7 linked regions of the Callithrix jacchus genome follow. The protein of the gene in region 2 interacts with the protein of the main gene of each other region in a pairwise test. Links are inferred from orthologs where the notes say so. Each region holds a gene or a part of one and is shown on either strand. Other genes may lie near its edges. The genes, in order: AGR3, NUP62, SSC5D, KRT20, FABP3, OIP5 and CCDC121.

The links.
Region 1: the proteins of NUP62 (region 2) and AGR3 interact in binary tests that used the Homo sapiens proteins (3 or more experiments, as listed by UniProt). The two-hybrid records come from large-scale screens. The link is inferred for Callithrix jacchus from reciprocal best matches to the Homo sapiens genes NUP62 and AGR3.
Region 3: the proteins of NUP62 (region 2) and SSC5D interact in binary tests that used the Homo sapiens proteins (3 or more experiments, as listed by UniProt). The two-hybrid records come from large-scale screens. The link is inferred for Callithrix jacchus from reciprocal best matches to the Homo sapiens genes NUP62 and SSC5D.
Region 4: the proteins of NUP62 (region 2) and KRT20 interact in binary tests that used the Homo sapiens proteins (3 or more experiments, as listed by UniProt). The two-hybrid records come from large-scale screens. The link is inferred for Callithrix jacchus from reciprocal best matches to the Homo sapiens genes NUP62 and KRT20.
Region 5: the proteins of NUP62 (region 2) and FABP3 interact in binary tests that used the Homo sapiens proteins (3 or more experiments, as listed by UniProt). The two-hybrid records come from large-scale screens. The link is inferred for Callithrix jacchus from reciprocal best matches to the Homo sapiens genes NUP62 and FABP3.
Region 6: the proteins of NUP62 (region 2) and OIP5 interact in binary tests that used the Homo sapiens proteins (3 or more experiments, as listed by UniProt). The two-hybrid records come from large-scale screens. The link is inferred for Callithrix jacchus from reciprocal best matches to the Homo sapiens genes NUP62 and OIP5.
Region 7: the proteins of NUP62 (region 2) and CCDC121 interact in binary tests that used the Homo sapiens proteins (3 or more experiments, as listed by UniProt). The two-hybrid records come from large-scale screens. The link is inferred for Callithrix jacchus from reciprocal best matches to the Homo sapiens genes NUP62 and CCDC121.

What each region holds. Positions count from the first base shown.
Region 1 is NC_133512.1:41,575,786-41,580,067, reverse strand, and holds the start of AGR3 (anterior gradient protein 3), read right to left. Parts: upstream 2,801-4,282; 5' UTR 2,761-2,800; intron 1-2,760. UniProt on the Homo sapiens protein: Required for calcium-mediated regulation of ciliary beat frequency and mucociliary clearance in the airway. Might be involved in the regulation of intracellular calcium in tracheal epithelial cells.
Region 2 is NC_133523.1:43,702,823-43,706,897, forward strand, and holds the start of NUP62 (nuclear pore glycoprotein p62), read right to left. Parts: upstream 2,801-4,075; 5' UTR 2,644-2,800; exon of another isoform or gene 2,512-2,643; intron 2,354-2,511; exon of another isoform or gene 2,162-2,353; intron 1,215-2,161; 5' UTR 1,147-1,214; exon of another isoform or gene 1,103-1,146; intron 182-1,102; exon of another isoform or gene 46-181; intron 1-45. UniProt on the Homo sapiens protein: Essential component of the nuclear pore complex. The N-terminal is probably involved in nucleocytoplasmic transport.
Region 3 is NC_133523.1:48,354,402-48,358,668, forward strand, and holds the start of SSC5D (soluble scavenger receptor cysteine-rich domain-containing protein SSC5D), read left to right. Parts: upstream 1-1,467; 5' UTR 1,468-1,622; coding exon 1,623-1,647; intron 1,648-2,258; coding exon 2,259-2,285; intron 2,286-2,590; coding exon 2,591-2,899; intron 2,900-3,109; coding exon 3,110-3,223; intron 3,224-3,460; coding exon 3,461-3,571; intron 3,572-3,903; coding exon 3,904-4,212; intron 4,213-4,267. Other genes in the region: NAT14 (putative N-acetyltransferase 14), read left to right, coding at 1-59.
Region 4 is NC_133506.1:92,394,973-92,398,472, reverse strand, and holds the end of KRT20 (keratin, type I cytoskeletal 20), read right to left. Parts: exon of another isoform or gene 2,900-3,500; coding exon 2,679-2,899; exon of another isoform or gene 1,977-2,678; coding exon 1,939-1,976; exon of another isoform or gene 1,614-1,938; coding exon of another isoform or gene 1,434-1,613; intron 1,157-1,433; coding exon 1,059-1,156; 3' UTR 320-1,058; downstream 1-319. Other genes in the region: uncharacterized protein LOC103793320, read left to right, coding at 1,434-1,613. UniProt on the Homo sapiens protein: Plays a significant role in maintaining keratin filament organization in intestinal epithelia. When phosphorylated, plays a role in the secretion of mucin in the small intestine.
Region 5 is NC_133508.1:68,013,363-68,017,662, forward strand, and holds the start of FABP3 (fatty acid-binding protein, heart), read right to left. Parts: upstream 2,801-4,300; 5' UTR 2,739-2,800; coding exon 2,666-2,738; exon of another isoform or gene 1-2,665. UniProt on the Homo sapiens protein: FABPs are thought to play a role in the intracellular transport of long-chain fatty acids and their acyl-CoA esters.
Region 6 is NC_133509.1:45,267,117-45,271,210, forward strand, and holds the start of OIP5 (protein Mis18-beta), read left to right. Parts: upstream 1-1,294; 5' UTR 1,295-1,324; coding exon 1,325-1,673; intron 1,674-2,203; coding exon 2,204-2,270; intron 2,271-4,094. Other genes in the region: NUSAP1 (nucleolar and spindle-associated protein 1), read right to left, coding at 844-936. UniProt on the Homo sapiens protein: Required for recruitment of CENPA to centromeres and normal chromosome segregation during mitosis.
Region 7 is NC_133515.1:87,415,552-87,419,751, reverse strand, and holds CCDC121 (coiled-coil domain-containing protein 121), read right to left. Parts: upstream 2,801-4,200; 5' UTR 2,556-2,800; coding exon 2,188-2,555; intron 1,724-2,187; coding exon 769-1,723; 3' UTR 420-768; downstream 1-419. Other genes in the region: GPN1 (GPN-loop GTPase 1), read left to right, coding at 2,859-2,969, 3,681-3,774.

The sequences.
Region 1 (4,282 bases), on a different chromosome or scaffold from region 2:
TTGTATAACTAAAAGAGAGATAGATCAGGACACACAAAGCCTGCTTCTGAATTGCCATGTAGTGTTCACACCACCAAGATGAAACACAAATTAGGTTGTGTTTTTTAATGGCTTATAAACAACAAAGTGACTTTTAGCATGCAGAAATATTCTTTCCTTTTGATTCTCCTGTATCTAATAGGTCAAAACATTTTAAATCTATACCAAGATAAGATTAGACATGAACAAATATTCCTTAAAATAGAAATCAGAGGAAAAATAGAATGAATATGGAGGATTCTCGTCCTTCAGTTCCTTTGTTGATTTTACCTTTCTCATGCTTCAGCAATTACTCAGACTTTTGCCTGTCATTTATAACACAGCTCTTTATAAAAATCAAGTGCTGTCTATTACTATAAATTAGACACATGTACAGAGAAGAGTAGATGTGCCATGATTACATTCTCTCTTGGTTAACTAGAATTCAAACTGGTTCTTAACTCACTGTGCTGTTAAGATAAAAACTAAAGTCCAAAGTTGGGTCTGATCTGGTCATAAACCACCTGATAAATATATTACAGGAAGTCTTTAATACTTGTGAGATGTTTAGTTACAGCATTAGCATATAAAACTCATTTGAAAATGGTTGGCACATGCAGTTTTGAAACTTTACCTCAAAATATAAAATAAATGTACAGATATTCTTCACATTTATTTAAGTTCCCTTAAGATATCTTTCCGATTGACTTATATTATTTAGTAGTGAATTCCTCACCAAAACAGTGAAATTCCTTAGCTAAAATGGCTAGTGAATGATTCTTTAGTGATTCTTTTCAAACAAAGATGTTGCTATAGTTTATTGTAGTAGGCATTGTGGAAAATGGAAAGATGTATAAGACACAATGTTTTGGCATTGGTAAAACATTTGGCAGTTGTACTACCCTAGTCATTTTAAAATAGCAACTGTAGTCATGGAAGAGAACAACAATTTGGTGGTAAAGAAGTTTATAGATTCTAGGTTTCTCCAGACATTTCTTCATTCCTCCCATTCTACTATTTCCCTTTCCCAGTGGTGTATATATTACAGCTCCTCTGTGGACTGAAAATAGTTACCACTCCAGGTTAACCTTACTTTATTTCTCTCCCTAATCCCTAGTAAACCCTCCCTCCCTCCCTCCGTCCCTTCCTCTCTCTCTCTTTTTTTTTTTTTTTGATGGAGTTTCGCTATTGTTGCCCAGGCTGGAGTGCAACAGTGAGATCCCCGCTCACTGCACCTCTGCCTCCAGCCTTCAAGCAATTCTTCTGCCTTAGCCTCCCAAGTAGCTGGATCTTCAGACACCCGCTACCACACCTGGATAATTTTTGTATTTTTAGTAGAGTCTGGGTTTCACCATGTTGGCCAGGCTGATCTCAAACTCTTGACCTCAAATGATTGCTCCTGGCCTGCCTGCTTGTGACCCCTCCCCACCCCCTGCATTAAAAAACCCTGTTAAACAATTACCATGGTGCCTGATAAGGACTTCCATTTAAGTTCCCACAACTTATTAAACCATAAAACATTTCAGAATGTCATGTTGTACCCTAAGGACTCAGTCATCTTGTAATTTAAAGACTGAAACAAAGAAAGGGTGGATTTTAGTAGAGGTTGGGGACAGTTGACTCTGGAACACGAAGCCCAACAGAGGGTAGGCAGCCTCAGTTAACTTTGAAGTTGCAGTGAAGGAACTGAGGCAACCATCTAAGACAGGATCTTAACCTGGATCCAGCAGGCTTCTAGAGGCCTGTGGATGAGCCACAGAAGGCTCAAAATCCCCGGAAATTGTGCACAAAATCTTCTCTGCCTCTGTTCATTTTCCATGGTAAGAGGGTCCTAAACTTCATTAAAATTCTTCCAGGGATCTTGGATATAAAGAAGAGTTAAGAAAAGTCAATCTGGAGGAAGCATTAGGAAAAATTTCTGTTAGGTACAGAGGCAAGCAGGTGCAATCTGCATTTTAAAAAAGAAAAAGCACTTCATTATTTTTTGCTGTTTTAAAGCTGCCAAGTTTTGAGTTAAGTGGGAACCATTTTTCTTTTTCAAATTTCAAGTATTTGTGTATTCTTGTAAAATACTTTCTAATTAAAAGATAAAAATCTTGGTTTTCTGGTTTTACACTGACAAATTATAAAATAGATATTAAATATATTCTGTGACAAAGCCATACAACTTTTGTAGATTTTGAATAAATAATGCTTTCCTTGGTAAAGTAAAGTGTAAATTGCTGAGGGTCCTTTAGTATCAGTTGCAAGGTTAGGCTACTTGGGGGAACACAGATGAATACGGCATGGTTACAGCCCTACCGCAGCTTAAAGTGCATTTGGGATGCACATAATCATATGTCAAAAATTGTATAAACATTCATCAATTAGCATTTTCTGACGCTGGTATTTTATTTTTCAAAAGTAATTTAACATAAGTAATTGATACTATAACTTCCTGTATTTTAAAATAAAACAAGACTTTAAAGAATATAAACAGGAGCTATTGTTACTTGTAGAATAACTTTGAAAGAGTTGTTTTTGTGGTTGATGTCAATTTATTCTAATAGCATTAATATAAACAGAGATAAAACTATGAAACCAGCAAAGGAAATTGAGTTCGGTAAAAGAAGAAAAATACAAATTCATTTCGCTTACCCCACCCTTTACTGAAAACTTTACTTTTAAATAGCAAAAGGTGATTATTTAAATACAGCAAAGCTTGACCACAGATTAAATAATCTGGAAACTTTGCTTGCTTACCTGACTTGGCCACTGCTCTTGTTGGAAATGTATTCTGGATGTTTCTGGTTAAAAATGGGTGTGGATTTATACACATACACACACACACACACACACACCCCTGACCTACAACCTCACCTGCATAGAAACGGGAGCATAGTTACCTGGAAACAAACTTACAAAAACAGGCTGGTCTGAAAAGCTCTCTACTTCTTTCCAGTTCTCATGCTTCTCACACTAAAAAAGCTCTTCTCTCTCTCTAAATTAAGATTGAATGTCCTCAGAAAATGAGGCCAAATACCATCTTTGTGCTTCTTTCTTTTTTACCTTTTATTTCCCAAGGTAATTTAATGTTTGGCTGAAGTTCAGCACAAAAAAAAAAAAAAAAAAAAAAAAAGAAAAAAGGAAGAAAGAAACCAGAACGAATTTAAGAACTGTGTGCACGCCATTGTTCTTGATGAGAGCACCATGAGGCTTGAAGATCAGATATAAAGCAAATAGAAATTCCTGAGGGTTACTATGTTTACAGGAATACGATTGATAGCTAAAGAGATTGGGTCCTTTTTTTGAGAGAAGGAAATAAAAATTCTATTTTAGAATTGAACACTTTCTTAATTTGATTATTCTTTACAATTTTTCTATAAAACATTTACTGCATGAAAAATTAGAAATGGACAATTAGATATGTTTATATTTATCTAATAGTCATTCTCCAATTAATTAAGAGTAATTATGTAATTACTGTTAAAATAACCTAGGGGAGGGTGTCATCAAATTTGGTCTACCTGTTTTTGTACAGCCCAGGAAATAGGAATGATTTTTACATTTTTAAACAGTTGGGAAAAGAATCAAAAGAATCATATTTTGTGATATGTGAAAGTTATATGAAATTCAATTTCAGTGTCCACAAGTAGAGATTTGGTGATGGTGTGCAGCCATGTGCATCTGCTTACTTGTGTCTGTGGTTACTTTTGCACTGCAGCATCAAAGTCCAGTGCAGTCCAGGACAGTAGATACCAAAATCTGTGCACACTCAAGTCCCATATCTGGCCTGGTGCAACCCACAGATATGAAAACTTGGTCCTCCTCATATGCAGGTTTGGAATCCAGTGAACACAGTATTTTTGGTCCATTTTTGATTGTAGATGCAGAACTTGCCCATATGGAGAACTGTATTTATTTAAAAAAAAATCCTCCTCTAACTGAACCCACACAATTCAAACCCATGTTGTTTACAAGTCAGCTGTGCTTGTGACAGGGACTGTATTGTCTGCAAAACTTAAAATATTTACTAACTATTGTAAATGTTTACAGAAAATTTTTGTTGAACCTTAATCTAGGTTCAACAAAATTTAGTGTTTATAAATTCCCTCCCTCCCTCCTTCCTTCCCTCCTTCCTTCCTTCCCTCCCTCCCTCCCTCCCTCCCTCCCTCCCTCCCTCCCTCCCTCCCTCCCTCCCTCCCTCCCTCCTTCCTTCCTCCCTCCCTCCCTCCCTCCCTCCCTTCCTCTCTCCCTTCTCTGGCTCTTTTTCGTTTCTTCTTTT
Region 2 (4,075 bases):
TCGGCAGGGGTGGGGGGTGGGTATGGCACAAGCGTGCCTTCTTACCACTGCCAGTCGGTCCAACAGTCTACCCTTAATTCCATCTGCATTTGCTCAAAAACCTGTACTGAGAAGTGGAAGGAAGTTGGTCCCGAAATCTCCTTTGTAAATTGGATGACCAGTCATAGTTTGAAAGCACTTACTGCACAGGAACAGAAAGAGAACACATCCACCTTAATTACAGCAATACAGTAACCAGCTTTTACGCAGCACCTACTGTGTACCAGGCAGTCTTTAAACCTCGTAACAGCCTTAAGAGGTAGGAAATGTTTTTGAGACAGGGTGTCACTCTGTCCTGAAGGTTGGAGTCTGGTGGCCCAATCTCGGCTCACTGCAACCTCTGCCCCTCCCCAGGGTTCAAGTGATCTTCCTGCCTTAGCCTCCCGAGTAGCTGGGACCACAGGCGCAAAATACCACACCCAGCCATTTTTTTATATTTCTGGTAGAGATGGGGTTTCACCAAGTTACCGAGGCTGGTCAATTTCTGACCTCAAGCAATCTGCCCAGAATGCTGGGATTACAGGTGTGAGCCACTGCACCTGGTCCAGCAGCAGGCACTCTTAATGCCACTTTGTACTAAAGGGGAAACTGAGGCACAGGGAAGGGAAATGACTAGGGCCGCACAGCTAATAAGTGGGGTGCAGTTAGGTTTTGAACTCATATAATCTGGCTCCAGAGTCTACGCCAGGGATGGATACTCTTTTGGCTTCCTGGGCCCACACTAAAATTGTCTTGGGCCACACATAAAATACACTAACAATAGCTGATGAGCAACAGATAAATAAATACAACTGCAAAAAAATCTGCATAATGTTTTAAGAACGTTCTGGGCTACATGTGGACCCCCGGATGGGACAAGCTTAGTCTGTGCTCTGAGCTGCTAGGTTACATACTGCATAGGTGATAACACAGCCCCTCAGCCAAAGGAAATACAGGACAAGTGCTCAGAAACTGGGAGAGTGGACAGTAAGTGCTCCAAGAGAAGGTGGTCAGATCCCGAGAAGGACTTCCTGCCTGCCACAGGGAAGGGAGGACAAAGAAGTTTGTGTGTAACGCTCAATACCAGGGTTCCTACACCTTCTCTGGACCCTGATTCACTCTCTTAACTGCCACAGAAGAGATGAAGGTTGAACTCCAGCTGGGATGTCCTGATGTGGATTGGACAAGGTGGCTTTCTGCAACAGAGAAAAGACCAACATCCACTTCAGCTGGCGGAGGGCCCAGTGCAGGAGAAGGGGCAAGATGGCTACCCTGTCTTTGACTAAAGGAAAACGGAGATCTTCCATTTTTGGCAGGCTTGGGAGACAGCTCCTATCCAGTGGAGGCTAAGAAAGCCTGTCTGAAAGGAAGCCAAGGCAAGGGATGGAGAAAAGAACGAAGCTGGGGCCTCGATGCATGAATCCCTGCCAGGGGATGGGGCCTGGGCACCCATCCTTTGGAATGGGAGGTGAGGACGGCTGGAAGTGGACACTTTGGAGGAATGAGGGAGACAGAAGAATGACCCACCAGCAGGTGTTGGACAGTCCAACGCCTGCGGCTCTTGCAAGCAGGGAGGAAGAAGTGAGACTGGGCCCCAGAGTATCTATTAATAATAAAATATGGCTGCGCACGGTACTTCACGCTTGTAGCCCCAGCACTTTGGGAGGCCGAGGCAGGTGGATCACAAGGTCAAGAGATAGAGACCATCCTGGGCAACCTGGTGAAACCCCGTCTCTATTAAAAACACAAAAATTAGCCCGGAGTGGTGGCTCGTGCCTGCAGTCTCAGCTACTCGATAGGCTGAGGGCAGAAGAATCACCTGAACCTTAAAGGGGGAGGCTGCAGTGAGCCGAGACTGTGCCACTGCACTCCAGCCTGGGTGACAAAGCGACACTCTTTTCTCAAAAAAAAAAAAAAAAAAAATGTTGAACAGGAATGTATGAGTTGAACTCTGGGCATAAAGCTTGGCGGACACATTGTCTTGAGTCTCATAAATCCGCTACGAGAGTTGATTTTCTTATTTTGCAGACAGGGAAACGAGGTGAGGGAACTTATTTGCCCGAGGCCACCCTGGCAGGTCTGCGTTGCGGAGGGGGCTGTGACTCATGCTGGACTCTAACCCACGAGGGTTCTAAGGGTCAGCAGTTGGGGGATGGAGATGAAAAGTGTGGCTGGCAGGAAATTCTGGAAGCAGGGAAAGGGAAATTAATCGGTGCGAGTCTGCGGGAAGGGAATGAAGCAGGCCCAGACCTCAGAGGCAGAAAGAGAAACCAGAGCCTAGAGTCAGGAGGAAAAACCAGACCTCGGAGCCACAAGCAGGAGAGGGCCCGATCCTGTGAGTGGGAAGCAGGGAGTCGGATCCTCTGATCCCCACGAGGAGGGGACCGGGCTGCCTCCCGCTTGGGGCCGCGCGAGGGCGGGGCGCGGAAGGATCCGGGAGGGCCGTACTGCGCCACCCCGGGTATATCTATCCCCAGTCCCCGGGGCCGCCTCATTCCCCGACCTCAGTTCACAGTCTTCTCACTAAGCGTCGCCTCCTCCGCCCGCGTAGCCCCGGCCATGGCTCTGTAGCCGCGACCCCTTTGTGCCCCCAGCCCGTCTCCGCGCCTGCGCTCTCCGTCCCACCTTCTTTCTTCAGCCGAGGCCACCGCTGCCTCTTCCTGCCGCAGCCATGGAGTGAGTAACCGCTCGCCTCTCCTTGTCCAACCGCCTTTCCCGCGCTTTCGCAGCTCGTGGCCCTCTTTAGGAAGCCCTGGGGGTGGGGAACCACGAGCGGAGAATCACGGTCGCGCAGGCGCGGAAGAGGGACGGTGGGCCGAGGGCGCGCGGGTGCGCATGCGCACTGGGCCCGGGGCCGGGTGGGAGAGTTCTAGACTTGGTGTTTGTCAGCCCGCGTGCGGCTGCGGCTGCGCATTCCAGGGAAGGGTGTGCTTTTTTCTAAACGATTCTGTGCGTGCTTGGTTGCTCTTGCGCAGTAGCCCACTAGTGCCCCGTATGAATGAGCGGCGGGTCCTGTGCGGCGTCACACACGCGCATTGATCCCCAGGAGGGCGGCGGTGTAAAAGCAATTGGACCGCTCCGGCGGCGGAGCATGCACTTTGGCCCTCGGGGGCAAAGCCATGTGTAGACGGGGCGTTCGGGTAGCCATTCTCTGCCAATCCCCTCTACCCTCCTCCACCTCTCCGGCTCCACGTTGCTCTGACTCACAGCACAGCTTTCTTTTATTTCAACTAGGCACCTGCTGAGGCGGGGACTCACGTAGATTGACAGGGCAGAAGGCGGGGCTTAGAGGAACCCCTTTAAACGGGTGGAACCAGAACCACGTCGTCACGATGGGTGGGACTTAGGGAGTTCATTATGAGAAGGGGCGGGGCCAAGGCAACCATTAGCTGAGGGATGGGACAAAGAGGCGGGGCCTCTAAGGAATCGGGGGCGGAGCTAAACAATGAGGGGCGGGGCTTGGAGGGGCAGTGGGAAGGCGAGGCGTGGGATTTGAGTGGATAACATTAAAAGGCTGGGATCTGGGACGGTTACCCTGGGAACTGATTTGGGATGGAAACTAGGAAGGCAGTGGGGCCAAAAGGAAATATTTTAGAGGAAGGGGCGTGGCTGGAAGAAAATGTCCCTAGGATTGAGTTTTTCTATGAAGCGAAATATTCTGAGGTGGATGGGAGGGGCCTAAGGTAATTCCCCCGGGACACCCTTAGGTTCCGTATTGGGGGAAGAGGTGGGGCATCGGTCCTATAAAGCGAGTTCCTTGGTGGTGTGTGGGGCTCAGAGATTTGGGGAAAGAAAGGACAAATTTAGTATTCGGAGAGGGCGAGGCTTAGTCCTAAACCCTGGTTTGAAGGGGGAGGAAGGAACCCCATGGACGTACCTGGGGCTGTGGCTTGGCTTCCCTATGAATTTTGGCTGGTGGGCGAGGCTGTTCCTGACCCCACCCACTCTTGTCTCACGCGTGTAGGTCTTCCACTTTCGCCTTGGTGCCCGTCTTCGCCCAGCTGAGCAACCTCCAGAACCTCGTCCCAGTTGCTGCTGCAGCGTCTCCTGTTGCCAT
Region 3 (4,267 bases), about 4.7 Mb from region 2:
AGGGCGGCTGGGGCTGCCTAGGCTACACACTGGTGAGGGAGTTCAGCAAAGACCTGTGAAGCTACAGACCGCCAGCCAGGGCAGGGAAGGAGGGAGGGGCACCAGCCCCTGATGAGCACCTACTGTGTGCAGGTACTTGTACATCCACTCCCTCGGTGTGTCCTCATCCACCCAGGGCCCAGAAGCAGAGGCCTGCTGAGGGGAGGAGCCTGGCCTCCGCCCACCAGCCGGCAGTGTGAAGTCTGCAGTGTTTGAGCTTCTCAGAGTGGAATGACTCCTTTCCCTCCCTGGTCTCGAGGTCAGCCTCTCCAACCCCTACCTCAGCTCCGTCTGCACTGAGAAATCTCCTTGGTCGATGTGTCTGCAAAGCCAGTGCTGTCTGTGCCACAGGCCTGGGAGAGCTATCTGGGGAGGGGGAGAGGAGGCCGAGCAGAATATGCCCCAGAGTTAGGATTTGTGACTCCGCCTCCCTGGACCCGGAGTGGGTTAGATGCCTGTCCTTGGAGGGGACCAGGTGGACTGCTTAGGGGTGGAAGTGCACAGGGCTGCCAGGCCTGGCCCCTCTCTGGAAAGGTGTAGAGCTGAGACGGCAGCTCTGGCTCTCCCTCCAGACCCGTCTGGTTTTCTACACCATTTGCTAATAAAGCCTGAAACCGCTGTGTGCCTGTCTCATCTCTGATGCCTTTTCCAGACTGTCTCCGGACATCCCCGCCCACTTCGGTCTGGCCCCTCCTTTCCCCAGTTGACATTAATTGTTGGGGGGGCGGTGCTGGACTGGGAGAACAGGAGACTGTGAGCTCAGGGGCAGCCCTGGGCCCTGCCAGCCCTTCTGAGTCACACTCCCCATTACCAAATTTTTTCCGCCTCACAGCTGCCTGGTGTGAAGGGAGTGGGGTGTGTGTGTGTGTGTAGCCCTTCCCCCTCACAAGCCTTGACCTTGGGCTGCTTATCTCCCTACCCCAGCTCCCTCTGGGATAGTGAAGTTCAACCTCTCCTCCCTCAGCTGGGGACAGGGGGCTTCACATTCAGATCCACCAGTGAGGGGCAGGACTGGAGGGTCGGGTTTTTCAGTCTCTTCCTCATCCGGGAAGTCCCTCCTGGTGTCTGGCTGCAAAGCTTGCTGCAGCACCAAGAGTCCCAGGTCTGCCCAGCCCCCAACCCGAGCAGTGGTCTCACCGTATTTCCCTGACCAGATGAGAGGAGGCAGCAGGTGGGCGCCCTCTCCCGCTCACACTGGCCCCCGACACACAATCCCTGCCCTTCGCCTTCCTGCAGCCGGCCACCCCCTAAGCATCTCAGCGCAGTGCTTCGCTGGCTGGAGCCTGCTTGGCCGTCATCTTCTCCCGTGTGGGTGTCTGCAGTTGGACACCCTCCCTCCCGCCCGCCACCCCCCTCCCCCAATGCCTCAGCCGCCGGCCAGCCCCCTCTAGCCCGCCCTGTCCCCTGCCGCCTCCCTGCAGCCTCTTTCTTCTTCCTGGCAAAGCGTCCAGCCCTGCCTGCTCCTCCTCGGGCCTGGGCGCCTCCGGCAGGCGCTCCCTCCCTCCCCCTCTCCCCAGCTGCCTCCTCCTCTCCTCTCCCGTTCTCCTTCCCCTTTCACCCCATCCCCTGTCCTGGCTGCAAACATGAGGGTCTTGGCCTGCCTCCTTGGTGAGTGATCCCTTCTCCTTGGGGACTCAGAGGGCCTAGGCCCCCAGCTCTGACCTCTTAGCTTATCCAGTTTAAGGACTCAAACTTCCGGGACTGGTCCCTGGTGCTTGGGGTACCCTGACATCCCTTCTGAGGCTCCCTGCCTGCTCAGTCCAGCCTTCTGCCAGCCCAGAAACCCAAGGGATCTGCCCCCTGCCCTACCCCAGCCCTGACCCCGCAGGGGATCTCCCAGACATCTGACCTTTAGCTAAGACCATGTGGGAACACCAAAGCCATGGTTCCTAGCCCTGATTCAGGGGCCAGGCAGCTGCAGCCCCACCCACCAGCCTGAGAGACCCAAGTCTCATCCAGGCCCTCTGTCCAGAGTCCTGCCTCCCAGCCATGGGGTTCCTGGTTCAGGAGAGAGAGAGAGAGAGAGAGAGAGAGAGAGAGAGAGAGAGAGAGAGAGAGAGAGAGAGAGAGAGAGAGAGAGAGAGAGAGAGAGAGAGAGAGTGTGTGTGTGTGTGTGTGTGTGTGTGTGTTGGGGTATTCAAGATGAGGGGCCTGTGCTAGAGAAAGGAACATCCCCGGCCTGCCCCTCACTTTGCCCCACTCTCCACCCTCCCTTACAGCGGCACTGGTGGGGATCCAGGCTGTTGGTAAGTGCCCCAGAATCCTCCCACCTGCCCCCCCTCCCAGTGCCAGGCCTCCCCCTTCTGCCCATCTAGGCCTGGCTTCACCCCCACCTGAATTCCACTATGACCTTCACCACTGCCTCCCGTTGGGATCCCCCAGGTGTCTGAGTGAATCTCTCTGAGCATCCAGGGGTTCTGGCCCAGGGGTCAGTGAGTAGGGCTGCTAGCTACCGACAGTACCTGCAGGACACGCCCCGCCCCTACAGTCCCCCTGACCCTAGGGCCCCAGGGATGCCCCTCCTCTCCACAGCCATTCCTCCACCCCTCAGATCGGCTACGCCTGGCCGACGGCCCCCATGGGTGCGCTGGCCGCCTGGAGGTCTGGCATGGAGGGCGCTGGGGCACCGTGTGCGACGACGGCTGGGACCTGCGTGACGCCGCCGTGGCCTGCCGGCAGCTGGGCTGCGGAGGGGCATTGGCCGCCCCTGGGGGCGCCTTCTTTGGGGAGGGGGCAGGGCCCGTGTGGCTCAGCGAGCTGGCTTGCCGGGGCTACGAGGGGCAGCTGGGCCTCTGCCACCACCGGGGCTGGAAGGCCCACATCTGCTCCCACGAGGAGGACGCGGGCGTCGTCTGCGCAGGTGAGGGCACCCTGGCTGCTCCTTCAGGGGCAGTTCCTTTGGAGATGACCCAGGGACCCCAAGTCCTGAGCCTCAGCGAGTCTGAGTGTGCAGCAGTCCAGAGACACCCAGCCTCCCATCCCCTCCAGAGCCAGGTGTCTCACTCCCTCTGCCAGGGACCAACTGACCTCTGACCCTACTCTCCTCACCACTTCTGTCTCCCACCCACAGGTCAGCGCGTGGCTAACTCCAGGGACGATTCAGCATCTCCCCTCGATGGGGCTCCCTGGCCAGGGCTGTCTGTGGAGCTGGGCCCCAGCACAGAGGAGACCCCGGTGACACACGGTGAGCCCAGAGGACTGCCGTGCTGCCCCCGCCCAGTGCACCCTCCTATGTCCTCTGAAGGGACAGGGACGGCTGCACTAAGAACTCCCAGGGGACAGACTGTCCCCCCACTCCTGTCTCCTTCATAGCCCAGGGAGTCCTCTGTCACTTCAGACCCTCAGAGAGGGAGGCCCAGCCCCCACGTGGGAGGAAGCATAAGGAGCGAAGTTCCTGACTCCTGGCTGTCTCCCCTCCCAGCCCCTCGCCCAGCTGGGAACCCCCAGAACGCCTCCCGGAAGAAAAGCCCCCGGCCCAAGCAGGCCAAGTCCACCCGGGCCCCTCTGCTGACAACTGGAGCCCCCCGCCAAGGTGAGCTCCCTGAAGGCTCCCCCGACCCCAAACCTGGATGCGGTGAGGCCTGGGGCCCAGACGAACTGAGGACCTGCGGGTGCCCTCTCCTTAGCTGAGGTCCTGGAAGGATCCCAGTGTTTACCTCGTCCCTCCTGGGATTTAAAAGCCAGGCCTGGTGTCCCCTCTTCCTGCCCTGTCGGGAGGTGTCCTGGCCCACTGAGGTTGTGGACTCTCCCCTTAACGGCTGCTGGCGGGCAGATCTCAGGCCTGTTTTCCCAGGTGAAGACCAACGGAGGGGTGTTTGAATCATTTCTCACCAGCCACCTGTCCCCTCCCTGTTCACCCCACAGAGCGGCTGCGCCTGGTCTCTGGCCCCCACAGGTGTGCCGGCCGCCTGGAAGTCTGGCATGGTGGGCGCTGGGGCACCGTATGTGATGACGGCTGGGACCTGCGAGACGCCACCGTGGCCTGCCGGGAGCTGGGCTGTGGGGGGGCGCTGGCTGCCCCTGGTGGTGCCAGATTTGGGCCTGGCACAGGGCCAGTATGGATGGATGACGTGGGGTGTGGAGGAGGAGAGCAGGCCCTCCGAGACTGCCCCCGGAGCCCCTGGGGCCGAAGCAACTGTGACCACAGCGAGGATGCTGGGCTGGTCTGCACCGGTATGTTGGGGCTGGGGCCTCAGCCCCAGCTCCCTCTTTCCCCTCCAGGAAGCTG
Region 4 (3,500 bases), on a different chromosome or scaffold from region 2:
ATTGTGTGATTCCATTTATATGAAATGTCCAGAGTAGTCAAATCCATAGAGGAAGTAGATTAGTGGTTGTTAGGGGCTGGGAGGAAGGGAAATGGGGGTAACTGCTAATAGCTACAAGATTTCCTTTTGGAGTGATGAAATGTTCAAAATTAGATATTGGTGATGGTTGCAAAACATTATAAGCATACCAAAGACCACTGAGTTGTACATATTGTAAGGGTGAATTTCATGGTGTGTGAATTATATCTCAGTGCAGATGTTATTAAAAAAAATGGGAGACATTTCATTAAAAATGTATGTTCACCACATAAACAGAGCACCTGATAGTATATGTAGTTTATTATCAAAAGGAGACACATTTTGCATTGAGAAGGGTTTCAGTAATGTTTTTAATCTATTTCCATTTTAAGTATAGTATACTTCACTCTTATTCTGCTTAGCATTTGTGATTGAATTTGACTCTCAAATTATTCAAAGAGCTGTGTTGAGTTTTGAAAGGCAGTAGAAACAATGGGAAAGCAGATATAGCTCGAAGGTTGTAGAGTTGTACTGGTGCTGAAAATTCAGTGAGATTAACCAAGAAATTGGCTCAGTAAAAAACCAGGGACTCCCAAAGGGGGTTTTACAATTCAGAAACAGGAAAAAATTAGGAAGAGTTTTATTTGCAATTTACAAAGTTTAGTATAAACTTGCAAAAAATTATACTAAACTTTGTGAGGTTTAGTATAATTGAAACGTGCTTCAATTTTCAGGAACATTACGTACAAATTGATGTTAGGTGGTCTGTAGCTTGTGATTGATGTGGTTCATGATAAAGATAGCAGTAAAGATGTTTTAAATATTCTACTGTGCATTAGATTTCATTTTTGCAGGCAATTTGCAGCTCCTCTGAGTAAAACATTTATATTCAATTACAGAGTTTGATAAATAGGATTTCCCCCCACCCCACCCCTTTGAATCATTGCAAAGTATTAATAGTGCTTTCTTCCAGGGAGCAAAGATACGATTATAGCCAAATTTCTTTCAGAACCTCTGCAGCATCTTCTTCTGGTAGCTGTTTAGATATTTTCTTCCACTTCTCTGACTTCAGATGACACAACCTTCCCATCCACTACTTCTTGCACGACTGTCTTAATCTTCCTGGTTTTCTTTGTATCTGAATTCATATTAAACATTAAATGTTAATTCAGGCACATGACTTTGCTGATTTATAATATCCAACTTTATTATTCTTTTTACTTATTTCCTTCTTTGAGAAGAACATGCTAAAGCCATCCTCTTTATCAAATACTCTTAAGTCCATTTTATAAAGAGATGTAGAAAATGTGCTTCTCCCCAAATTTAAAAATATCCTACTCTTCCTACCCCTAAACAGAAATAAATGATCTTGAATTTAAGAGGAATTCAAATTTTGTCTTATTTTTCCTTTTCAGGATCTCAGGATGTCTCAAGATAACAATAGCACGGGCCAAGAAAATCACCCCGTTCTGAAGAATGTGCCCAAGTTCCCACATGGGGGTTTCTTTACACCATGTACAAGAATTTTAGAATCCTGGTGTCATATTTGCTCTCTTGAGAATTGGCCTCTGCTATGGTTTGAATGTGTTCCCTAGAGTTCATGTGTAGAAAACTCGATCCCCAGTGTAACAGTGTTGGGAGGTGGGGCCTAGTAAGAGTTGATTAGATAATGAAGACTCTGTCCTTGTGGATGGATTAATGTGCCTCACCAGATGATGGCACCTTGATAATGGGCTTTCTGGCCTCCAGAACTGTGAGCCAAGTAACCTTCTACTGTTTGTAAATTATCCAGTCCCAGGTATTCTGTTACAGCATCAGAAAACAGACTAAAACAGCCTTACTTTACTTTTTTATCAGTGGCAGGTAGTCAATAGAAAGCAGCTGAGTGTCATAGAAAATGTGAAAAAATTTAGAACTTACCTTTCTCTTTCTGGATGCTTAACTGATACTCCGTAGTTCTGTTTTTTTTTTTTTTTTAATTTGAAAGAAGAAAAAATAAACAGAAAAAAAGCGTTATTGCTGTTCTGAAAATGGAATGCACTCCTTTCATATTTCAAAGTAAAATCCAAGTGAATGTGCTTTCATATTTATTTACCTTTACATTCCTTGTCATTGCAAACTTGAGTGTTTTAAACTTGAAAAATAAATAGCTTTAAAACTGACCAGTTTATTATATACTGAGGAGTTCCTCTAATTAAAATAACAAAAATACAATGGAAGTTCAAATCTTGTGTTCTCTTGTTGATATTCTGAGGTATGGTATCTGAAGACAGTTGCTGCCGCCACATTGATTCCCAAAGTGACTCCCATAGACCTCGGCAGCTTATTGTCTAATTCATGAGCTCTCAATTTGAATTACCAAAAAGTTATTGTGCTTTCAATTATATATTAATGATAAAAATTAGTATCAGCATAACCTCTGTCATTTGGAGAATTATCTTCTAACTCAGTCCTGCCACATGATCTCAAGGCTGTATTTGATAGTCTGGGTGTGTGTGTACTTTTCGGTATACTTTTGTTTTGTTGTTGTTGGTGAGGTGTGTGAGTATAATTGCTTCTGTCCTGGGGATTGCATTGGTGCTGGGTAATGAGTGACAGCGACATTAAAATAGGAGTACATACAGACATTGACACCTATTTCTTGATTCTAAGAGCCTTACTTTACATCTCCTCCTTCCAGAAGGCGGCGGTAGGTAGCAATTTCCTGCTCAAGCCGAGTCTTTATGTCAAGAAGGATATGGTATTCGTTGTTCTGGCGTTCTGTGTCACTCCGAATCTGCATCAGTTGGGCTTCCAGAGAGCTCAACAGCAACTGGAGGTTGGCTAACTGGATGCTGTAATGCGCTTTGGTCTCCTCTAGGGTATGCTCCAAAGACTCTTTCTATGAGCACAAGAAAAATAGGGCATTTCTTATCTAAGGACTTGATTCAAGAGATGGGTCAATTTTCATTTCTTTTCAGAAGGGTTTCTGCAGCTCGTCACTGTGGGCATGGTGTGTATTTCTAGCTCCATCTCCCACTCTTCCCAACTAGGCAACCTCAGCCAGCCAGCTAGGATCATTAGCTCTTGGGGTTTTTCTTTGCTTGTAGCTTTGCACCCACTGTTCTCTCAGTGAGGGACATTGTAGTTTGTTCTCAATATTTGCTTTCCCCACCATGTGAAGATGTTTTACCTCTCATTCCTTCATCAGACTTGGCCATGTGATCTGTGGCATTTCTCAATTGCAGGATTAGACTCCTTTAATCCATTGACAGCTGGCTGGGTCATGTGACTTTGGCTAATAAAATGCAGATGAAGCTGGCAAATGCCTTTTCTTTTTTTTTGACACAGAGTCTTGCTCTGTCGCCCAAGCTGGAGTGCAGTGGTGTGATCTCGGCTCACTGCAATCTCCACCTCCTGGGTTCAAGCGATTCTACTGCCTCACCCTCCCAAGTAGCTGGGATTACAGGCGCATGCCACCATGCCCAGTTAATTTTTGTGTC
Region 5 (4,300 bases), on a different chromosome or scaffold from region 2:
GAGTTAGATACAAAGGAAGTATTTGTCCTCTTGCACAGATTGAGGAGGGTCTAAAGCGGTAGCAACAATGAATTAGACTCTGCTGGGCATGGTGGCTCATGCCTGTAATCCCAGCACTTTGGGAGGCCAAGGTAGATGGATCGCCTGAGGTTGGGAGTTTGAGACCAGCCTGACCAACATGGAGAAACCCATCTCTACTAAAAATACAAAATTAGCCAGGCGTGGTGGCGCACGCCTGTAATCCCAACTACTCGGGAGGCTGAGGCAGGAGAATCACTTGAACCCAAGAGGCAGAGGTTGCAGTGAGCTGAGATCATGCCATTGCACTCCAGCCTGGGCAACCAGAGTGAAACTCCATCTCAAAACCAAAACAAAACAAAACAGTGAGTGAGATTCAAACCCAAGTCTCCTGACTCCTAGTCTAAGGCTCTACAGAGACTATCTTCCTGACCCAAGCATGGCTTCCTTGGGTACGAGGCAAGTCCTACGTGTCCTGCAAGCAAGTAAAGAACAAAGAACTAATCATGACTGCCCCTTCTCCCCCCAGCAGCTTATGCTGAGCTGTCCTCCAAGGCAATGGTGAGGCAGGAGGCAGTCCAGTGTAGTGAAGTGGTGTGTATAGTCTCCAAATGTGCCTGGCTGCATAGTGCTTACTGGAGCTAGGTACTCTGCACATGCCCTACATGAGTTGTACTTAATGCTTGTAACAGCCCTGAAGCTTAGATTATCCCCAATTTACAATAGAGAGTGAAGTGTCTCCTCGAAATTCAAACGGAGTAAACTACTGACGGATTTGAATCTAGGCTCCAAAACGGCTCACTGTTTCCACTAGGCCATTCTGCCCAGCACATACTCAATCCAGGCCACCAGTTGTGCCGGTGGTCACTGGTACTAGATGGGACCTCTTTGCCCCTTGAGAGCCCTAGGTCTACAGCAGGAGGGGCAGGGGCTATGCTGTCAGCCTACCCTTGCCTGGCCAGTGAGGAACTTGGCCTTGCCCCTTGGTGTCAGGAAGTCAGGCCAATGACACTCCCATGCACAGAGCAGGACTGTTTGCTTAGGACCTACCCAGAGGTATAGAGTGTCTGAAGAGGAAACCACTGTGGGATAAGTGAGGGTCTGAACCAAGAGAAATTAAGAATATTGAGCTGACAGAATTTAGGAGACTCAGAGATCTGGGTTCTACTTAGAAATGAAGCCAGTGCTATTTACTGAGAGCTGAGGAGGGTCTTTTCCCAGGCTTCCTGTTCCTATGAAAAAGCAGGCTGCCTTAGCATAAGCTGCTGAAAAATAACAGGTCTTTAGGGAGATCGCTCCCCACCCACCCAACTTGGGGCGGAATAAGGGAACAACAGTGGTAAAGTTGTTTCAGCTCAGTCCAGGGACTCGACTCTGGCCTAGCTTTGGAAGGAGGAACTAAGTCTGGGCATTCCAACTTCCCAATAGCTGCTGGGGTGTGTTAGTGGGGGTTGGGGGGCTGTTCCTCTAAGAATGACTGCCTACCTGGAATTACTGGGCATAGCGCCCAGGGTAGACTAGGGGCCGTTAAGAGCTTTGACCTCTCCATCAGACCAAAGCAGTAGAAGAAGGGCTGAGGTCAATCATTAGCTAAGCAGTTCCTACTTTGCTTCCCACTCCCAGGGCCTATAGGGTAGTGGAAAGAGCTCTGGGTAACAGATCTAGAAACCTTAGGTTTTCATATCAGCTCTGCTGTGGAATTGTTATAATACATTTCTACTCTCCTGGTTTCAATTTCCCTGTTGAACCAGACGGTATGGGAATCTCCAAGTTCCTCACCTGTAAGATTCTTTGAATCCTTTTTCTTAACCATCTCAACACCACAGCAGTTCTTCACAGCCTCCTAAACCAGTCAACCTCCCTCCCAGGTCTTGACCTTGCTCTGACACCCTCTACTGCACAGTAGAAGTCCAATGGCTTTCTCTGCCTACCCTTTGCACAGGTGGGTGAGCCTTGGGTTGCAGGAAAGGCCCAGCTGATGATGGGCCTCTTGCCCCACCCTACCACGAGGCTCACAGACAGTGATTAAGGCCTGGTTACATATCACCGCAGGACAAGGTCAGACTAGCTTGGGAGAAAGAGCATTTTCAGCAACAATCCCCTTCCCTAATCCAACATGGAGAGATGGGGATTGCTGCTTACTGAAGGTCCCTGTCTTACCTCATCCTCATATCTGATTCACTGATACACGTTTTTTCCCCACCGATCTTCCTCCTAGGTATTTCCTACTTGTTTAAGGTCATAGTACACTCCCTAGCTGCCCCATTCCCTTTCTGGGTTCAGTCTCCTCCAATTTCTAAACTACCCATGCCCCGTTCTTTCTCTTCCTTGACTAGACTCCCCTTCCTGTGATCAGTGTTCTTTATCCAAACCCTCCTCCTACCTCCAAATCATATATCTGTCTTCCTGGAAAGAGCCTCCCACACAGCTGCCTCCTTCCTCCACCTCCCTACCATGGTCTCTAACCAGATTTGGACCATGAAATCCCCTTCCGAACAGGCTCTACCTGCCCTAGCCCAGGCCGCCATTCCGCGTTCCCCTATTCCCCAGTCTTAACCAAGAGGGATGCAGCAGGAGCCCTGCGTGGTGCTAGGGATGCCACCAGCCCCTCCCCAAGCCAGCATCCAGAGCCCCGCGGCTTGCTCACCGAGTGACTTCATGTAGTCATCGAAATTCTTGCTGTCCACTAGCTTCCAGGTGCCCAGGAAAGCGTCCACCATAGTGATGCTGGGCTAGGCTGAGACAAGCTGCGAGAGAGCAGGCGTGCAAAGATTCGGACGGCGGCTCCGTGCCCGGGCTGCTGCTTTAAATAGCCCTCGCATCACATGAGACGTGGCCCACGCCCCCGGCTCCCGAAATAGGAAGCCCCAGGCTAGGGCTCACCCAGGAGGGGCTGGTCCGCCATCCCCCAACCCGCCGAGGTGGGAGGGGACCAGTCAGTGGCGCCCTGCTTGCCTGCGTCAGCGCCAGTGCCTGGCCCCCTAGTCTCTACCCCAGGCTGGCAGGACCATCTCCCTTTCCTGGCCTCTAGGCACTCTGGAATCCGAGAAGGAAGCAGCCGGCACCGGCCGGAGAGCTGGGGCGCATGCCATGGATATCTTCCGTAGCCCAGTCCCTCTTTGAGCTTGGGGTCAGAGCAGAGATGAGACTAGAAAAGGAAAACTCGACCTTGGGCTGGTGCCCACGCCGGGAAAAACTCTGGTTGACTTCTGGCGCAGGCATCCGTCCTCGTTTTACAAGTGAGGAGCCCGCGGCTCAGCGGGGAACTGGCAAGGTCTCAAGAAATAGCGGGTGAATGGATCTTCAGATTGCAAGCTTAGCCTAGCAAGGCCGCGCTGTCCCTTCACTCCCACTGCCTGGTGGCGGAAACAATTACCAGGGGCTCCGTTTGCGGCTGAGCTGACCTTGTCTTCTGCCTGTTTTGTGCGAAAGCCTGACCTTTCGCATCTGCGCCCGCCTGCTCACACGTGCTTGCCCCTCCCTGCAGAATGTTTCATGCTGGCCCTCCTCCCGCCCCGCCCCACCCCACCCCACCCCACCCCATCCTACCATCCAACTCCCCACCCGCCCCTGCAAGTGCTTCGGGCTTTTCCAGTCTATCCGCACAGCTCCAAGTTTTAGCTCAGTTCCTTCCCAGCTCACCCTCCTTCAGAAATTCTGCCAATTCGGTCAGCTCTTCAAGGCCCACTGCTGCCTTCCCCACCTGCTGCCTTCCCTGACCTGTTCACACTAGCAAGTCTCTGCACTTTGGGTACTTTGCTGCCTCCTTTCCAGAGCCTGTTGTGCAGTGGTTTGACACTGTATAGTTCACTAAGCACTTTGAGTGGATGTAAGACCTGCCTTGTATTGATATTTATTGCATGCTGAGGGCTTTAGGTATATTGTTTCATTGGAATTTTCATTTTTTTATTATTTTTTAGAGACAAGGTCTCTCAATGTGTCTCCCAGCCTGGAGTACTGTGATGCCATCACAGCTCACTGCAGCCTCAAACTCCAGGGCTCAAGGGATCCTCCCACCTTAGCTTCCCAAGAAGCTGGGACTGTAGGCACACACCACCAAGCCTGGCCTCATTGAACTTTTAAAACAAAATCCATGAAATAGGTGTTACTATATTATCTTGTCTTTTTAAATAGATGAACAAGCTGAAGCTCTGAGTTCACTTATTAATTCAGCAGTTATTAAAGTACCTACTTTGTACCAGGCCCTGCTTTGAAGAGAGACAACAGGGAACGAAACACATACTCACCTCTGGGCAGCCAAACACAAAACTAATGTGACTTT
Region 6 (4,094 bases), on a different chromosome or scaffold from region 2:
ATAAAACTGCAATCCAACATTGAATGCCCAAATCTTCTTCTTCTTTTTTTTGAGAAATAGAGTCTTGCTCTGTCCCTGAGGCTGGAGTGCAGTTGCATGATCCCGGCTAAACGTCCGCTCCAGCGTTCGACGCCTGGTTCATTTTTTAATGACTAGACTGGTCTCCAACTCTTGACCTCAGGTGATCCGCCTGCCTCGGCCTCCTAAAGTGCTGGGATTACAGGTGCGAGCCACCGCGCCCGGCCAATTCTCCAAAACATCTTGCAGCCTTGGAGTCAAAGACCTTACTGGTTTTGAACGAGACCATCGCCACAGTAGTCATCAATAAGTACATGATTACACTAGATCAGCGCTGAGTTATAAAAATTCACCCATGGAGGTGGTCCTCTAAAAGTCGTTTTTTGTTTTTTTTTCCCTGACAGGTCCACCAACAAAGCATCAAGAAATGATCGGCAATATTACAAATCACTGAAGTCTAACTGTTGGGGAGTTTTCTAGCAGCTAAGCCAATTACGTATTTAACTGTCTAACGATTAACAACAGGGCTTTCTGGGCCTGCGTTTCGTCATCAATGCCCTGAGAGGTATAATTTCAAAAACAAAACAAAACAACAAACCAGCAAAAACACCAAGAGCAGCCAGCCTCAAAATGAGGTGAAAACTACAGTTCTTTTTCCGTTTCGCTGAGTTCTAACTGGGACCACCGTGAACTACATCTACAGCTCGAGGGGCAGGGACAGCCGCCTCGGCCCCGGGCTTCCCGCTCTATCCCTTCGCACCACATCTCCCCAAGGCCGCTATTCCCGCGGATCCCGCCCAGGGGCCTGCACCGCCAGCACCATACCCTCAGGTTGGCCCGGAGACCCAGACTCTTGGCTAAGTTCTGCAGGTCGCTGTACTTGAGGGAGTCCAGCTCCTCTAGGGAGGGGACGACCATCGCGATTCGAAATTCCGGCGATACTCAGAAGACGGATCACACAACTCCGGTAGAACAGTTGAAATCCCTGGCTCCACTTCCAGCTTTGACCAAACAGAAATTTACATACAGTTTAAAAAATGAAGAATGCCGCGCTTCCACTGGTTGAAAATGCCCCAAAGGCGGGATTTCTAACCCTGACCAATAGAAAGGCTGATTTCCCGTCCCATCAGACGCGCGCTTTTCCCACATCTCAGGAATGCGCGGGTGCCTGAAGTGCCTGCAAGGCGTGTGCAGGTAACCAGCGCAGAGCAGACCCCGCTGCCCACGATGTCCAATGAGGACGCAGGAGCTGTGCTTGGGGCGTGGCCTAGCGTGTATTCGAAACGGAGGCGCCGGCTGCAGGAAGATGGCGGCTCAGCCCCGGCGGCGTTTTTCGCCGCGTGCAAGGCCACCCCAGGTTGACTTTTGCGATGGCACTGAGAGGACGATTGACGAAGCTTCTTTTACGACCTCCATGGAGTGGGATACTCACGTGGTGAACGGGTCCTCGCCGCTCGGCCCCGCGGGGCTGGAGGCTGAGGAGCTGGCCACCGGCCAGCAGCTACCGTCTTGGCTGCAGCCTGAGCGGTGCGCTGTGTTCCAGTGCGCACAGTGCCACGCGGTGCTCGCCGATTCGGTGCATCTCGCCTGGGACCTGTCGCGATCCCTCGGGGCCGTGGTCTTCTCCAGTGAGTGCAATGCGGCATTCGGGAAAGGTAGAGACGAGCCCGAGAGGCTGTTCCGCTTTCTCCATCGGTGGAGGAGAACCACCGGGGGAAGAAAACGGGATGAAAATTTGAGGCAATAACTTCGTGACCTGAGGATGGGGCAGGGAGCCGGGGAGTCTCCTGATGTTTATGGCGAGGATGAGTCTGTCTATAGGAGAGATTTTCCTTTTTTTTTTTAAGACAAGAGTCTCGCTCTGTCGCCAGGCTGGAGTGCAGTGGCGTGATCTCGGCTCACTGCAACTTATGCCTCCCAAGTTCAAGCGATTCTCCTGCCCCAGCCTCCTGAATAGCTGGGATTACAGGCACCTGCCACCAGGTCCGGCTAATTATTGTATTTTTAGTAGAGCTGGGGTTTCACCATGTTGGCCAGGGTGGTCTCGAACTCCTGACCTCGTGATCCGCCTGCCTCAGGCCTCCCAAAGTGCTGGGATTACAGGCATGAGCCACCGCGCCTGCCTGATATTTTTCCGTTTCAAGGCCCGGAGAGGTTGGGTTCTGACCCATGTTTGTCTTTTTAGGAGTTACAAATAACATCGTTTTGGAAGCGCCCTTCCTAGTTGGCATTGAAGGTTCACTCAAAGGCAGGTACGTATTGAAAATTACATATTGGTTTCGAGTCTCGGACTTTATGAGACTGAAGAGAGTGGAACTGACATACACTTCTTTTTTTTTTTTTTTTTGAGACGGAGTTTCGCTCTTGTTACCCAGGCTGCAGTGCAATGGCGCGATCTCGGCTCACCGCAACCTCCGCCTCCTGGGTTCAGGCAATTCTCCTGCCTCAGCCTCCTGAGTAGCTGGGATTACAGGCATGCGCCACCATGCCCAGCTAATTTTTCGTATTTGTAGTAGAGACGGGGTTTCACCATGTTGACCAGGATGGTCTCGATCTGTTGACCTCGTGATCCACCCGCCTCGGCCTCCCAAAGTGCTGGGATTACAGGCTTGAGCCACCGCGCCCGGCCTGACATATACTTCTTTTTGAGACCAGGTCTCAGTCTGTCGCCCAGGCTGGAGTGCAGTGATGCCATCATAGCTCACTACAGCCCCTACCTTCCTGGCTCAAGTTATTCTCCAACCTCAGCCTCGGGAGTAGCTGGGACTACAGGCACACACCACAAAGCCTGGCTGATTTTTACATTTTTTGTAGAGACCTTACTATATTGCCCAGGTTTGATATTAGAACATTTAAGTTTGCATATATGATTAGTTTGTAATAAGCAATGCCAGGGCTAATTCTTCAGTAACCCCAGAAACTGGAGAAAAATGCAACTAGAATGTTTTGTACTTGAATACTGCCTGGTAAGCTTTGCATCCTGCATCTGCTATGATTTACAAGTGATAACAGTACTCAATGAATTTGATATTACTAGGCTCCTGAAGTTTGAGTTTTGGCCTTAACAGACAGTTTATTTCATTCTGACCAGTTTGATTCAACGTTAGGGTTAAAGTATAGGAATTCTTACTTGCTTTGTCCAGTAACCAGAAAGATTTCTGCAGCTTGGACAAACTTCACAAACTGAGTTAGACCCACAGCTACCTCTCTTTTTCCTGAATAAAAGACACTCCCTATCACTACAGCAGTCCCCGTCCCCTTCCCACCTAGAGGACAAAGCAAGAAGGAGCAGTGGCCTGCTTGGAACTGGGTAAATTTTGGGGCTAGAAGCAGAAGCTTAACTGAATGTCCTTTTGGAGAAGAAGCTAATGAATCTAGACCTGTGCTGTCCTATACTGTAACCACTAGTCATATGTAGTTATTATATATTATTAAATCTGCATTGAGATATACTGTGAATGCAGAATACATGCTGAATTTCAAAGACTTAGTACAGAAAAATTAATCATTTAAAAATATTGATTACATGGTGAAAGGACATTTTTTATATACTGGGTTAAGTGAAATATTTAAAAACTAATCTCACCTGATTATTTTTTAAAGCAAAACTAATAGAACATTTAAAATTACTTATGTGTCTCACATTATATTTCTATTAGACAATGCTAGTTTTAGATACTTTGTAAAAAACTGGAAAGTCCCATGGGTTTCTGTATTGTGGAACAAGATAAGCTATAGAACTTGTGGAGAGGATTACGAAATGGCACAGCTCAAGAAAACTTTATTTTTTTTAAGTGTATGTTCATTACCTAGATGGGATCAGAGAATAAATTAAGATTTATTCTACCTTGGGGAGGCCAAGGTAGGTGGATTACATGGTCAGGAGATCAAGACCATCCTAGCCAACATGGTGAAACACCATCTGTACTAAAAATACAAAAATTAGCCGGGCATGGTGGCACGCATGCCTGTATTCCTAGCTCAGCTACTCAGTGTCCGACCTACCCTCTGCGGGAAGACTGAGCTCGTTCGGAAAAAACCGGACCGCAGGCTAGAGGAAATTCCTTAAGTTCAGG
Region 7 (4,200 bases), on a different chromosome or scaffold from region 2:
ATACTTCATGTACTAGAAAGTACACCTGTAAGTAACAGCTGATGTAATGTACGTCTCCTTTATCTTCTCTTCCCTTCTCAATTTACTTAAAGCTAAACTTGGAGGGCTTAGCATCAGATGAAAAGTCACTCTGCCTAGCACTTACTGGACTTGCTGTTACCAGAATACTTTTTCACTTATGAGAAAACTATAGAAGGAGCTTCCTGGTCACTGGCACAAACGTACAAAGAGTTTGTAAGAACTGCTTTTGTCTGCTAAGTCCGTCAAACGGAATGAGAATAAACTGATATTGGTTATTTACTGAGCAGAATGCTATTCAAAGTCTATTTGGAATGCTATCCCAAAAGGTACTGTCTCATAAAGAAACCTAATTTAGCTGGATAAAATAAATCGCAACTGTTTTCACTTCCTTAGGTTGCCTTTTTTTTTTTTTAATTTTTATCCAGGAAGATACCGCATTTAGGTTGGTTTTTGTTGGCTGGTTTGATGTATGGTAAATGGCTAGCTTAGGGTCATGTTTTAGGTTAACCAGAGGTTTGTGGAATATCTTGTTTATTAACAATAGTATTTAAAGAAAAAGCTAGCTAAGGAAAGCTGGTTACCAAATACCTAGTAGGACTGTAGGATAAAAGCATCTAATCCTTTACACCAACACATGATGATGATTTTAAAATAGAATCAGGAATTCAAAAGCCTTCCTAACCAGGTTAATGTAGCACTTTAACAGTACTTGCTCCAGTTCTTATTTAATCAGTGTTATTTTAGGAATTACTCTGGATTAATCTTTGATTTGGTGGCTTGGGGAAGACTGGGTGTGGTCTTTGGGGCATCCTGTCTGTTTAGGCACTGATTATGCTTTCCTAGCAGTCTCTGCCTCACTCTGATTAAGCTCTCCACATAACACTGTTCCTGCTGCAGCTGCTGCTTCCGGTTTTTTAAGTGGCTTTCAGTGGCCGTTAGTTTCTGGGATTGCTCAGTTAGCTGCAGTAATTCCTTCCGTGACTGCTGGTTCTCTCTTTTGATGCCACAGGCGTATTCAAAAAGAGACTGCTTTGCTGTCAACTCCAAGGCCCCGGCCTTCATATTAAGCTCTCTTCTTTTTCTCTTTCCCAGTAGCCTCTTGCTTGTATCCCTCAGTCGTTTCTCCAGTAATCTTTTCTCCTGGAGGAGCTGGGCCTGTACTTCCCGTTTCTTTGCCTCTGTCTCAGCTTGGACTTTCTTTTTCTCCTCCTGTAACGTTTGTATTTCTTTCTCCTGCTTTTCCTTTAACATAGCAATGTCCTTCATTGCCTGCAACTTCTGCTTCAAACTGGATTGGATCTTTTCCTTTTCCAAGAGTTCTGTTTTAAGCACTGACATTTGCTCTGCATATCTGTAGGCTGATTGTTGTCTTCGTCGTTCAATTTCTTCATTTTTTTGTAAATAGCTGTTCCATACCTTCTCGGGTTGCTTTCTGTACTCCTCAGTTTTGTCAGTCAGGTATTCCAGAAATAATCTGTTTTCAGCCTGGACAAGTAACTTTTCATGGTATATCTGCCTGCAGTCTTCCAGCTGCTGGTCCCGCTGGATTTGAGCTTGTTTTATGTGCTTGTTCAGATCGGACATTTTCGCCATTGTCTTTTCTTTAAGGCGTGTCTCCACCTTTGTTAACTTCTCTTGCTTTAAAAGATTGTTTATTACAGTAAGATATGGTGTAAAGGACCTTCTGGGGCCCTTAGCAAATCTGAAAGAACAAATGAGACATTCCTCTCTCAGTTCTTAATTAGGAAATAAGTGCACAACTGTCCTTTATTCATACAAGAAAAGATTTCTGAGCACCCATTATGTTCCGTACATTATGCAAGGTGTGAGGAATACAGTTAGTGGTAAAGGATGAAGGATGTCGCTCATCATTTACAACGTGCGTTCACTACAACCCTGGAAGATATTAACTGAGTTTTTAAAAAGGAAAAAACAGGTTCAGAGAGTTTAAGTGACTTGCCCATGACTCACACCACTAGCAAGTGGCAGTGCCTGTATATGAAACCCAGACCTTATGACTTAACGCTGTTAGCAGCTACAAAGGGCCACAGAAACAGATTGGGAGGTCGGGAGTAGAAATAATTTTCTAGGCTCTTTCATCATCTTTCCTGAGTTTGTGAGAACCCTTCAGTGAGAAGGAAGCTCCTCTCCAGTACCTACTCGTACCTGGAATCCAAGCCTTCATCCTTAAGGTCATGGCAACTGTGTAGTTCACTGAGGACGACTGCTTTGAAGTGAGCGCTAGCATCAGGAACTTGTGCCTGCGAATCGCGGGAACAATGTGCAAGTGCGGGAAGTTCCCGTGGTTTATCCGTGCGGTGCTCAAAGGGTCTCGGCGCTGCCCAGTAACCCTGGAGGCCGCACCCTGCTCCAGTCCCGGCTGGTCCGGCCCTCAAAGGTTTAACCTCCTTGGCTACCGAATAAACCCCAGCAGTTGGTCCTCCAGTGGTTCCGGCCCCCGCTCTTAGCTGGTACGACGTGAGAGGCACTCTCCTCGTTTTCCTGCTGTGTGAGCCCTGCCCTTGGGACCCCATCTCTTCTTGCCCTCCTCCTGGGGACAAGGGTATACCCCTCCTAGGCTATGGAGGTCAGCGCCCTTTTCCTAGCTCCCTACAGCCTTCCCCTCGTTTGCTCAGCGACACCACTTCCTCTCCTCTGTCACTAGTTGGCCCCTTAGCCCTGCCGGACGCTAAGAACATGCCGCTGACACCGCCGCGCCCATTCGCCCGCTCCTTTCTGACGCCTCGGTTCTGTCTTCATTCGCAGCCCAGAACGTCGCGGAAGTTCCTCTAGCCACGCAGTGTCTCTATGGTCGGGTGGGCGGGGCGAGGAGGAAGATGGCGGCGCCCGCAGCTGCAGCTGAGCCCCAGGCTTCTGGGGGTCCGCGGCCCCCAGTGTGTCTGTTGGTGTTGGGAATGGCGGGATCCGGGAAAACCACCTTTGTACAGGTGATGTACACAGCGTGGGTGTAGTAGGGAAGCGGGAAAGGTTGCCTCCGGCAGGCGGAAGGCCAGGAAGAAAGCTAGGGCGGTCTCCGAGGAGTTGGAGGGTACCGGCGCGTGGCTTTCGCGGACTTCCCATCAACTTTAGTTCTTTCCCCGGCAAAGCCTCCTCGGGCCCTAGCCAGGTTAATTAAGGCTTTCTTCTAGGGCACCTTCAGTGCATACTCTGTCCAGGTTACCGCGTTGTACAGGAATTGTCTTGCTGGTAAAATTGCCAGTTTCTCGAAGGCAGGGGCTTACAAGTAACTTTAGAGATTAATACAGTGCTAGCACACAGGTTTTTGGTGAAGATTTGCCAAAGAATTATTTTTTGCACGCCTGTCATGTTTCATTCATTGGGGATATAGTCAAAATGAGGTTGACAAGATTTATTTATGGGACTAAATATTTAATGGCGGAGATGGAGAAAACCCACATACGAAAAATCAAAACAAGTAAACAAGTGACTATGAGTAGGGGAAGCTTTGTTAGATGGGTGATGAAAAAGGGTAGCATTTGAACTAGAAGCTGCAGCTTAGAGGTGGACATAGTGGGTGGATATTTCAGGTAGAAGAAAATCTTAAGTGCAAAACTCTTAAGGCATGGGTGGTAAAGGAATGGAAGTTTTTTCCTGCCCCCTCTTTGTCTTCTTCCAACCCTCTCCCCATATCTCTGCAGAGGCTCACAGGACACCTGCATACCGAAGGCACTCCACCTTATGTGATCAACCTGGATCCAGCAGTACATGAAGTTCCCTTTCCTGCCAATATTGGTGAGTAAACTGGTAACATAACTTGTGTGAAGTGCTTTAAAGAGAGTGGAAAGACTCAAGCCTGCCAGTCTTCAGTGCCTTCTTTTTTCATGTGGTTTTTTTTTTTTGAGACGGAGTTTCACTCTTGTTACCCAGGCTGGAGTGCAATGGCGCCATCTTGGCTCACGCAACCTCCGCCTCCTGGGTTCAGGCAATTCTCCTGCCTCAGCCTCCCGAGTAGCTGGGATTACAGGCATGCGCCACCATGCCCAGCTAATTTTTTGTATTTTTAGTAGAGACAGTGTTTCACCATGTTGACCAGGATGGTCTCGATCTCTTGACCTCGTGATCCACCCGCCTCGGCCTTCCAAAGTGCTGGGATTACAGGCTTGAGCCACCGCACCCGGCCTTCATGTTTTTTTTTTTTTTTTCTAAACTATCTACTTT